Mus musculus: one gene and its partners. The protein of the gene in region 2 purifies or fractionates together with the protein of the main gene of each other region. This does not show direct contact. Links are inferred from orthologs where the notes say so. Each region holds a gene or a part of one and is shown on either strand. Other genes may lie near its edges. The genes, in order: Fbxo11, Snai1 and Usp3.

Region 1 (3,742 bases), on a different chromosome or scaffold from region 2:
AGGTGTGACAACCAACGCATGTAAAAATTACCCTTAATCCGCCAACCAAAACACGCAAAATGTCTCCTAACAATTCTCCTCTTTAAAACAACCATACACAAAATACCGTGCTGACTTACACCCCGCTGCAAGCAGCTCATTAATAAAGAGACTAGTTATGTTTGGAGATCAAGGTGCAACACTCTCATCTCACAAACCTCTCTCCACGTAACCACATCATTCAAGCAAAACCGAACATTATTTTTGCTAAAGCAAGAATCCAACCCCAGGGAGCCTCAGCCCTTAGACAATGGTGGTTACCAGACAGCGCAGCACAGTTGGGTCCAAATGACACATTTCACTAGGCCTTGGTCACAACACGCGCGCGGGCGCGCGCTCGTCTACATACAGCTACACACACGATCCCAAGGGGCCCGTTCTACGGCGAGGGTGCTCAAACCCACCCGGAGACCGAGGGGAGCACCGTGGCGTAGTGGGTTGGAGAGGAAAGGGGGACGACACAGCGGAAGGGTAACTGCACTGCACACGAGGGAGGGGGCTGGAAATGGCCGATAGCTTCTATATTTATTTATTTAAAGGTATTGATTTAACGGGTTCTTCCCCGGGGTTCTGTAACTAAAGGCAAACTGTGCAGCAAAGATGTTGTGGTCGAGAGAGGGGCCGAGGCTCCCCCTGCCCTGCGACCTGGAAGGGGGCACGCAAGTTCCCCAGCCAGCGCGGCGGACCACTCCGGCGCTCCTCTCCCCCTCCTCCAGGGCAAGGGGGAGCCCACAGAGAAGGGGAAAACAAGTTCCCCGGCCAGCCTCACCGCCCCACGCAGCCAGCCGTCCCCCCACCTACCACGAGAAAGGGGGAGCCCAGATCGAGCCAGGCGCAGAAAGGGGGGAAATCCCACCCTCCTGCCCGCCCCCGGCCGCGAACAGACTCCCGTGGGGTGGGCGAGCCAGCCGGGAAGCCCCAAGGAGGGGTGGGGACGGAGGGTGCCAGCCCCGAAACCAAACAAAGCGCGGCCTGAGCCGCAGCCCGGGCGGATCGCGCAGCCGCGGCTTTTCCTGCCGGCCAGGCCCGGCCGGGCCGGGCCCAGGCGAACACTGCGGCACGGTGGGACCCGCCTCCGCTCGGCCTCCGTCTCCCACCCCGGGCGCGCCGCCGCCGCCGCCGCCGCCCCCGCCCGGCCTCCCGCCCGCCCAGCCAGGCCCCGAGCGCGGCCTTACCCCTCTCGCCGGCGTTGTTCCGATCCTGAGGCGGCGGCGGAGGCGGCGGGGGCGGCGGCGGGGGCTGCTGCTGCGGCGGCGGCGGGGGCTGCTGCTGCGGCGGCTGCTGGGGCGGCTGCGGCGGCGGCTGTTGCTGAGGCGGCTGCGGCGGCGGCTGCTGCGGGGGCTGCTGCTGCTGCTGTTGCACCGGGCGCGGCCGCGACACTCGCCTGGGTCTCCGGTTGGCGGCTCGGACGGAGTTCATTTGCCGGGCTGAGGTGGCGGCGTTGGCGGAGGGACACACACACTCACGCGCACACGCACCGCGAGCTCCGGGGCCGGGGAGGAAGGGGGTGGGGAGCGGGAAGGAGCGGGGCGGCCGGGGACGCGGGGACCGGGGGGCCACCGGGCGTGAGCTTCCCCCGGCTCCGCGGGGAGGCTGGGGGCACCACCGGAGCTTGAGCGAGGCCCGCCGGCCGGGCCTGGCGCACGGGCAAGGCCGAGGCCGCCGGGCGGGGCGGCCGCGAGGGACGCAGACAGAGAGACGGGCCGGGCAAGAGAAAGAAAGAAAGGGCGTCCGTCCGCCTGGGGAGCCCGAGGCGAAGCGCGGCGGCGGCCGAGCAGACGAGCCGGGCCCGCCGACTCCCGAGCGGCGTCTCCGGCAGCGGCGGCGGCGGGGGGAGTGGGCGGACGGGCGATCTCGGAGAGGGCGAGCCGAGCGGGGCGGGAGCGCGCGGGGGGCGCCCGGCTCCTCCGTTCCTCGTCCTCCCCCCACACCCCCTGAAAGAGCGCCCTGCGAGGAATTTTCTCTTTCTTCGGCCTCTTCTCTCTCCTCCGCCCCCCCCACCCCCACCCTCGGCGAAGGGGAAATGAGTGTAAAAGGGAGGAGATAGGGGCAAAAGAGGCGTCGTCGTTCCTCCTCCTTAAAGGAACCTTCCCTCCTCAGCCCCAGCGCCGCCGCCGCCGCTGCCGCTGCTGCTGCTGCCGCTGCTGCTGCTGCTGCTGCTCCGTGGCAGGAGGAGCCATTGACACCGCCGGAGCCTCTCCGCTCAAGCCCTGTCGGTCCCTCCCCGCCGCGGGGCTGGCCGGGGGGCGCGGGGGGAGGGCCGCGAGCCGGCGGGGGAGGGGCGGGGGCGGGGACAGAGGGGGCGTGGATTCCGGCGGGGCCTGACCAATGGGAAGCGCCCGTACGGTGTCGGAGCCAATGGAGCCTCCTCTCTTATCGCGGAGCCCCCTTCCTCCAACACCCTGTTTCCTCTCTCGGGTTTCCTCCTTCCCCGACGGAGGAGGAGGAGGAGGAAAGAGGAAAGGGGGGAGTGTGGCAGGGCGGGTGATAATGGGGAGGTATCAGGGCATATAATGGAGCCGGGGGTGGGCGAAGGAGCGGCAGTACGTAGCGAAGGTTCTAGGATAGGAGGTGCTCTGAAGGAAGGGCGGGGGCTGCTGATGCAATTGGGAGAAGTGATTAATCCTGCCTTTTGCCGGTTCAGCCTCCCTCCACCCCAACCTTCACCTGGTTCTCTTAAACGCCACAAGGAGTGAGGGACTCCGTCTTGGGTAACTCCGGATTTCTGGGCTCGGTAGGTTCAAGCTCTCAGCTGTAGGGAGCGCTCCAGGCTCTGTGCGTTTTTAGTCCAGCTGAAGGGATTTATTTGCAAACCTTAAGAAATCTTGTTTCGGCTCTGCTGAGAACTTAAGAGAGAGTCTGGAGTCGGTTCCAGCTTTTGTCGCCCAAACTTTCAGAATGTTTTAGATCTTTAACCAAGTTAGTTTGCTTTAGGCTTTTTTTTTGGGGGGGGGGGGGGGGCAAGTGGTCTACATGGTGTTCCGGAAGAAGTAAAATAAAACGGGTGGAGGTTGTGATGGATTATATTGGTTTTGTTTTAGGTCCCACGAAGTCAAGAAAGATAAACCCCCGAGAGGAATAATCTTTTGTATCTGTGTCTGGTCCCCTTAGCACAATCTCTCCCCAAGGAAAATGTGTTTCTATTCCCTGGCCGCCGTTATGAAGACTGAAAATGTACTCCGCTCACTATTCCTTATTGCATAGCTAGTGGTTTATCTCTGGATTCCCTCATTTCGGAGCTGTCAGTGATTTTCTACTTGAATTTCATTGATTGCTTTCTAGGCTTAAGATAGATAAAACATTACAAAGCTTCAGAAAGGGAGGGAGAAAAGTGAATTCTAAGGGACGCACAGGAGAGGTAAGTCTACGGTATTGTGCTATGTGTAAATTACAGATTTTTTTCTTTTTTTCTTTTTTTCTTTTTCTTTTTTTTTTTCTTTTTTCTTTCTTGGTTTTTTGAGACAGAATTTCTCTGTGTAGTCCTGGCTGTCCTGGAACTCATTCTGTAGATCAGGCTGGCCTCTAACTCAGAAATCCGCCTGCCTCTGCCTCCCACGTGCTGGGATTAAAGGCATTCGCCACCACTGTTGGCAAATCACCCTTCTAGATGTCAGACATCTCCTGCCATTTAAATAATAACCTATCATATGATGTACAATTGCTGGGTTTTTTTTTTTCTTTTTTGGTCATGTGATTTTCAAAG
Region 2 (3,742 bases):
GTGATGGAATTCGGGGCTGAGGAATGGCGCCTGGGTGTGCTGAGCCTCTGGATAGAGGAAATCTCAGCAGGGATCCTGCGGGATCCACCCACTCAGCAGGTATTCACTGAACAGAGCCGCTTTCAGCCCCCCTAGGGGGCACAAACCCACACAAGTCTTCAGCTACACAGGTGGGGCTCCAAAGCCCTGGGTGGTGGTGGACCTTGGCAATCTGTGGGTCCCTACAAGTAAGGGGTGTTGCCCCCTCCCTAGAATGGCCTAACCACTACCTGTCCGTTTAGCAGGGACAGGCGAACTGAAGTACTTAACAAAAGGGAGGTTTCAAGATAACACAGGGTGGGATGGAGCTGGGAGTCTCTGGGCTTGCACAGGAAGTGTAGACACCCCCCCCCCCACACACACACACACTCTCTCTCTCTTCACAGATCCCCGACCCCCAGACGCCTTCATAGTGTTCCTGGCAAGTGTGAAATCGGCACCAGGCCGGCTGGGACAAAGGCCACTAAGGGGGACACTGTACATGTGATACCCCCTGGATTAAAGGGGCCTGCCGTGCAATGAGCCAGCAGCTGCGGCCAAGAACAGGTGCTGGGCACCGCTGCCCCGTGCACCTGCTCTAACCCTGCAGGCCCCCACCCCCTGGGCTACCATTAAGACACACAATGGAACTCCTAGAGAACTGGGTGGTGCATTTCAAGGAGGGTTTTGTCTGAGCCATGCCTTTACATCAAAACAAAGTCCCTGGGGGGTGGGGGGTGGTCGGAGGCAGCCTAGGACCCTGAGGGCTTCAGCTCTTCCCCAAAGTAGAGCCCCACAGCTTAGCAACCCAGCCGGAGAGAGGCAGCCTGTTACACTTTTATAGGTTAAATCTGAGGCAATCCGTGCCTGGGGGGGGGAAACGGGTAATCTTATTCAAGTAATAAAGGTGTCAGTGAGACCTGCAAATACCTCCCTGCCACCCCCAGGCCTCACTGCCCCAATGCTGGCCACCACAAGAGACGCACAGCTCTACCCCAAAGCCTGACACACTTTCCAAAGAGCAGCCCAACCGGAACCCCCACCAAGCCTGGCTGAAGCCTTCCCTCACTTCTAGAAGCTTCCCACGTGGCCCAAGGCTGAGAGGACAGCAAAGTCATGTCTTTGTTTCTCTTCTTAAAAAAAAAAAAAAAAAAAAAAAAAAAAGATGTGTCTATTCTATTCTTGTCCTACATGGATTGGTATGTTGCCTGCATGTATGTCTGTATGAGGGTGTCAGGTCCTCTGGAACTGGACTCTTAACAGGCAGTTAGTTAAGTTGTGAACTACCATGTGTGCTGGGAATTGAACTCAGGACCTCTGGAAGAGTAGCCAGTGCTCTAACCACTGAGCCGTCTTCATAGTCACTGGGAAGTCATTTCTTAGTGGCACCTGCACCTAGCACTTCACTCTACAAAGACCCCACGAAGTGTTCTCTGATACATTTTAGAAACGAGGAAACTGGGGAAGTTCTCGACTCAGGATTCAAGGCCAGGTGCAGAATATCCTGTCTAGCAATATCCTGTCTGACTTCTACAGTGTGGGTTGAGCCCGGATAGGGAACACCTCTTCACTCCTAGCCTCGAACAGCAAGGTACAGAATGGAGAACAACCAACATCTACTTTGTCCACTGCTTGGCAGCCTTAGGAGTAAGTGTTGAGTCCCCCCAGGGTCTAAGGCCAAACAGCCCAGACTCAGAGCTCAGCTATGCACACTCACTCACCAGTGTGGGTGCGGACGTGGCCCTGAAGCAGCCAGGGCCTAGAGAAGGCCTTTCCACAGGTCGTGCAGACACAAGGCAGCGTGTGGCTTCGGATGTGCATCTTCAGAGCGCCCAGGCTGAGGTACTCCTTGTTACAATATTTGCAGTTGAAGATCTTCCGCGACTGGGGGTCCTTGGCCACCGAGAGCCTGGCCAGCTGCTTGGGAAGTTGGCCCAAGCCAGGGAAGGCGATGAAGGCCTCGGCCTCCAGGGAGGAGGCCGAGGTGGACGAGAAGGACGACGGCGCCGGCGAGGGCGGGCTGGGCGGCTGGGAGCTTTTGCCACTGTCCTCATCGGACAGCGAGGTCAGCTCTACGGCCTTGGGGCTCTCCCGCAGCGGGAGGGTGGCCCAGGCAACCGGCCGCACTTGGGGTACCAGGAGAGAGTCCCAGATGAGGGTGGGCAGCGAAGCGGCGGGGTTGAGGACCTCGGGCGGAGGGATGGCGGCCAGCAGGTGGGCCTGGTCGTAGGGCTGCTGGAAGGTGAACTCTGCGGGAAGAGAAGAGACAGCAGGGAGTCAGCTGAGCGGATTCTCGGGGCGCCAGGTGGGGGGGCTTCCCGCCCGCCCCTCCCCTCCCCCGCCCGGACTCCGCAAAGCTACCCCCGCCTTCGAGTCTTCAACTCCCGGAGCCTCCCCGTCCCGGGTCAAAGACACCCTCGGTGGATCCCAACTGCCAAGACCCGGAGCTCCAGATCCACCTGTCGCGCCCGCAGAGCCCGATTCTCACCTCCCCCCAGCACCCTTGGGATCCCCCCCAGCCGCCCGCGTCCCGCACCCCACCACGCACCCACACACGCGTCCTGCAGCTCGCTATAGTTGGGCTTCCGGCGGGGGTCGGACGGCTTCCTGACCAGGAAGGAGCGCGGCATGTTGGCCAGAGCGACCTAGGTAGTCGGGGTCACCGGGTCGCGCAAGGTCGGTAGTCAACTCCGCTCGCGAGGCCCGGCCGCACACTACGATCCCCTAGCAGCAGCAAATTCCTTTAAGTACCAGGGCTGGGGGCGTGACCGTACTGTTGGTCACGCCCCTTTGTCAAGGCTGAGCCAATGGCTGGCGGCGGCGCGGCCGGAGACTGAGACCGGAGCAGGTGCGCCTGGGCTGCTGGGGCTCCCGCCGCGTGGCGCTGAGATTCCGCTTGGGCTCCTCCCGGACCGGACCGCGCGGCTTCCGAGCTCCTCGGGCGACCCCTGGTGGCCGCGCCTGCCCCACGACGAGCGCGGTGCCCCGCAACATCCCCGAGCTGCTGACCTTTGGGCGCTGGGGAGCCAGAAAGTGCGATGATATGCACGCGCTTAGGGGTTCCTGGAACTGTCTACACAGCCCTGAACAAAACACTACCCAGGGATGCCCTACGCAAGGATGGCTTCCCGGCCGTGGGAGAGAGAGACAGACAGAATAAACAGAGGATTCGAATACTAAAGGGAGGTGTGATTTGATGAAAGGAGGTGGGGAGAGACAGCTGTGACTGTCAATGAACGGTCACCTGACAGGGGAGGGTGTCTATGACTTCCTAGAGGAAGTGAAGAAGCACCGAGGGGAAAGGCCCGGGGTAAGAATCAGTAACTTCTGCCTGTCCAACCTTTGAGAGCAGGTTCCAGGATGAGGTTGGTGTTGGGCAGACCCTGAGGGGTCCGATTTCCTGGCCTCGGGTCTTTGGAGGAGTTTGGACTTTGCCTTACAGGCACTGGGGAGTCACGGAAGGACTTTCAGCTGAGGACGGACGTGTTTAGAGTTGCATTGTGAAACACCAATAAGGGCAGGTGCGAGGCAGAGGTAGCAAGGACCAGGGCTAAGGCTCCCGACTTCCTGAAAATCGTGTTGGAACGTTCACAGGGAGGAAGGGTGGCCTCGGAAACCAAACCCACACCCCCATAGTATGGGGTTATAAACACCTATAAAGCAGAGGGTCTACGGAAACCTCTGGGGCACCAGCTAGCATCGAGTCTCTAGGCACTGGAGGTAA
Region 3 (3,742 bases), on a different chromosome or scaffold from region 2:
AGCCTGAGATAGAAAAAAAAAAAAAAAAACACCCACTGAGTTGTGAAACTAGCTTTATTAGTACTATAAATGCAAGTGATTAGACCCATCCTTCCAAAACAGGGTCAGAGGCAACCATTTACTGCACGTTGTAAAGAAATCACCCTTCCATTACTAATTTGTTCTTGTTTTCAGCACAAGTCTCCCAGTTATGCTCCATTTTAATGTGCTGAATTCCTCAAGAGGGGCTTCATTTGCTGTCTCTTTTCCCCAAAGTGGACTCCCTAACTGATGGAGGCAAGACTGACTCACAACAGGATACCTGCCACTTGCATAATTTTTTTAGATGCATGTGCACAGTGAAGCCATTTCTAAGTTTGATATAATTTTACATAGAAAAAAAATTAGGCTTGTATTGATACACCCATCTCGGAATCCCTGTAGTTGACTACAGATGAACAAGAAGTGCCCCATTCCTTGTGAGGTGTAAGCTTTTCCTAGTGAGAGGGTGTGTGTGTGTGTGTGTGTGTGTGTGACAAATCTCTCTTGAGAAAATTCAACTATAGCCCCACAGCTACAGCTAATGAACTAACAGACCACATGGACTGGCCTGTTGTTGGTAGTGTTATGTTCCAAGCTCAAGACTCACTGTTGAAGATGTATTTACAGGTAAGACCCATTCACACAAGTTCTGCACTCCCACAAAGAACTGCAATACTGGCCCAGAAGGGGTAGCACATGCCTATAATCCCAGCACTCCAAGGGCTGAGAGAGGAAAATTATAAATTCTAGGTCACCCTGGGCTATCATAGAAACCCAGTCTCACAAACCAAAGGAACTGCAATACTGTCCTGTGAAACCAATTAACTTATTAATCTTTAAAGGCTTCATGCAGAACAGAAGAAAGACACCTGACTTTACAAAGGTAAGCAAGACACCAAGTCTTGGAGCTCCAGAAAACTGCAGTTATTTCTATTCCTTATCCTGGAGGACAGTTTTCCTTGTGTTACCCCGTATATTTTGCTTCAAGAATATAATCCCCTTTGAAGAAGTAGTACGTCAAAAGTATTAAAGCAGTCCCTAAACTACCTTCCTAGCTCCAATCCAACCCAGGCTGAAAGACCACTCTGCTGAATCGTCCCACCGTCTTTTCAGCCTTGCAGATGAACTTGATTTCTGATGCACACGATTCACATTTTACACTACAGCCCAAGCTGCCAGTGATAATCTTAAAGCTCATAAACAAAGACCAGCGTCGGCACCAGGGCCCTACCAGGAAGTAATCAAAGCCGGGTGGCCCGTCCGACCTTAAGTCCCGGCAGACAATGAGAGGGCACCGGGGCTTCCAAGGAAGCAGAAGGAGTTAACGCTTAAGCAACTCGAAGGCATAACATAAACCTACGAAGTGTCTTACACGCACTCGGGAATTCCCAACGAAATCCCTGCCAACCCGAAAAACTGCCTCGGAACAATCTTCGAAAGGCAAAACAAAAAAAAACAAAAAAACCCAAAACACCCAACCTCGAGCCGCCCCTCCAAAGCAGCTGTTGGCTGCCTTCTCCGGAGCTTTCGGAGCCCGCAGCCTGTTTTCAAACTTCACCCTCACAGGCTGAAGAGAGACTCCGAGGTGAGCAGCCCCCAGCGCAGTCCGCTCAGGGGCTGCGGGGGAGGCAGGAGCCTGTGGGAACCCGAGGAAACGCAACCCAAAGGGGCTCGCGCGCCGGCAGTCCAGACAAAGCTGCGCCCGCAGAGCGGCGCTTTGCCTGTCCGGCCCACGGGGGACCGCGAGCCCGACCCCGCCACACGTGCGGCCGCGCGCGGAGCCGGCCCTTAGGTTCGCGGAGCCTTGGGGTGCGAGCCGCCGCGTCATCCCGCCGCTGCGCGCTCGCCTCAGGCCCCCGCGGGCCTCTCCTCAGCCGGCCCGGCCGTCGGGCCGCGCGAAACAAAGGAGCCGCCACCGCGCCCGCCGCGCCGCGCCGCGTCCCCTCGCCCCGCGCGCCGGGCCCGCTTGCTCCCCTCAGCCTCCCCCCCCCCCCAACGAGGCCGCGCGCTGCCCCGCACCCGCGGCCCTTCGACGGCAAGGCCCGGGCCAGAGCCGGGACCTCGGGTGCGCGGCCGGCCAGCCCCAGAGCCGCACTCACCGCTGCAGCACCAGGACGACGGGGAGCCGTTGGGGAACTTGGCTGAGTCCGGGGCGATGCAGACGCTGGAGCTGAGGTGCGGACACTCCATGGCCACGAGGACGGCGGCGGGGACAGCCGAGGCTCTGGGGCGGAGGGACTTCAGAGGCTCCGTCTGGGGTCGCTTCTGACCCGGCACTGGGCAGACGGCGGCTTCTGGGTCCCGAGCCTTTGCGTCAAAGAAAGCAAGGGCTTCCGGGCGCCGGGTTTTGCCATCCGCCGTCTCCCGGCGCCCCGCTCCGGAGAACGTGAAAATCCGGACTCCTGGTTCTGCCGCCGCCCAGGGACAGTAGGCTTCCGCCTTCTCCGGCGGCCCCGCCCACCCTGCTGGTTACGCCCCCAGGCCAGCCCGGGCCCCGCCCCCACACTAGTCAGTGGGCGGGGCATTGGTGCTCACCCAGTGCTAGCAGCTAGTGTAAAGTCCTACGGGGATGTGAAGTGACTTTCCGAAATCTGCCCCCGGCCGCTGCAGCCGATTCTTGGGAACCCGACAAGTGTGGGTACTCATCCGGGGCAGAGCGGTCGGGACCGCTGCTTCTACTGCAGTGAGTTGGCTACAACAGCGAGGTAGAATATGTGACCACACCGCAAAGAGTACGGAAAATGAAAACCACTCACACCGACGTGCATTGAAGCCCCATTTTACACAGGAAGAAACAGACTTTTGGGGCGTGGCCCTCGATGGCCCAGCCGGCTGCAAAGAGCCCAGAACAGTCCTGACTTTCGTGTTCTCCCGGTAGCAGGCGGGGTCCGGAACTGTTCTGAGTTCTGAACTCTGGCCTGAGTGTGTCACCGGGATACTGCACGGCTGGGCCCACCGGAACGCCTGTGTTCGGGGTCCACGCCATGCCGTTATGACTCACTGATATCTCCTGCCCATTGTGGGTATTTTCATACCTATACCTCTTGAAGTTGAACGAAATAATCCAGTTTGCTGTACAAGGTCGCGGGTGCTAGGTAATAAAAAGAGGCAGTGTAACATTTGTTAGAAGCCCACCTGGCTCCCAGCCAGGCACTTTGCATACCACACCTCATTTAATCCTCAAAACACCCTCTCAAGCTGCTGCTACGGTCCCCTTTTTAACAAAAAGTGAAACCAAGAGTATAATTTGCTTTAGGAAGATTGGACCCCCGCACCCCCCCCCCCCCCGCTTCAAATCTCTCTCTAGAAAGAAGTGAAGAAGACAGGAGGAGCGTCTAGAGGTAGAGAGCCTGCCACCTCACATTCTCTGCCTTGAGGATATCTGGGGCTCCCACAAATCTAGCCTCCAAAGTTGGGCTTTCTTTCTTTGTTTGGTTGGTGGTGTTTAACCTGGTAAAGGGGCTTCTTTCCTTCATCCCCTGACAAGCAAGTGGAGAGGGAAGAACAATGTGCCAATCCATGGGGCAGGAAAGGAAAGGTCAGGAAATGATTAACTGGCTGGGCCGGATAGTGGTTAGTTAGCACTGGGCACCTCCCTGAAGTGCACGCCTCTAGCACCCCTTAAGCCACTTCCGTACACCCCACTACTGCACCCTGTAGCCTTCTGCCTGATAGTGTCCACCCACCTAGGACATCTCTGCCCAGGGTGGTATTTCAGATT

Evidence for each region.
Region 1: the proteins of Snai1 (region 2) and Fbxo11 purify together in Homo sapiens (affinity purification with western blotting; 3 studies listed by BioGRID and IntAct, with this or other methods). This does not show direct contact. The link is inferred for Mus musculus from reciprocal best matches to the Homo sapiens genes SNAI1 and FBXO11.
Region 3: the proteins of Snai1 (region 2) and Usp3 purify together in Homo sapiens (affinity purification with western blotting; 3 studies listed by BioGRID). This does not show direct contact. The link is inferred for Mus musculus from reciprocal best matches to the Homo sapiens genes SNAI1 and USP3.

The regions. Positions count from the first base shown.
Region 1 is NC_000083.6:88,063,795-88,067,536, forward strand, and holds the start of Fbxo11 (F-box only protein 11), read right to left. Parts: upstream 2,252-3,742; 5' UTR 1,459-2,251; coding exon 1,215-1,458; intron 1,139-1,214; exon of another isoform or gene 841-1,138; intron 748-840; exon of another isoform or gene 301-747; intron 1-300. UniProt on the Homo sapiens protein: Substrate recognition component of a SCF (SKP1-CUL1-F-box protein) E3 ubiquitin-protein ligase complex which mediates the ubiquitination and subsequent proteasomal degradation of target proteins, such as DTL/CDT2, BCL6, SNAI1 and PRDM1/BLIMP1.
Region 2 is NC_000068.7:167,537,196-167,540,937, reverse strand, and holds the start of Snai1 (zinc finger protein SNAI1), read right to left. Parts: upstream 2,744-3,742; 5' UTR 2,649-2,743; coding exon 2,567-2,648; intron 2,268-2,566; coding exon 1,740-2,267; intron 1-1,739. UniProt on the Homo sapiens protein: Involved in induction of the epithelial to mesenchymal transition (EMT), formation and maintenance of embryonic mesoderm, growth arrest, survival and cell migration.
Region 3 is NC_000075.6:66,590,664-66,594,405, forward strand, and holds the start of Usp3 (ubiquitin carboxyl-terminal hydrolase 3), read right to left. Parts: upstream 2,453-3,742; 5' UTR 2,212-2,452; coding exon 2,121-2,211; intron 2,119-2,120; exon of another isoform or gene 1,850-2,118; coding exon of another isoform or gene 1,501-1,849; intron 1-1,500. UniProt on the Homo sapiens protein: Deubiquitinase that plays a role in several cellular processes including transcriptional regulation, cell cycle progression or innate immunity.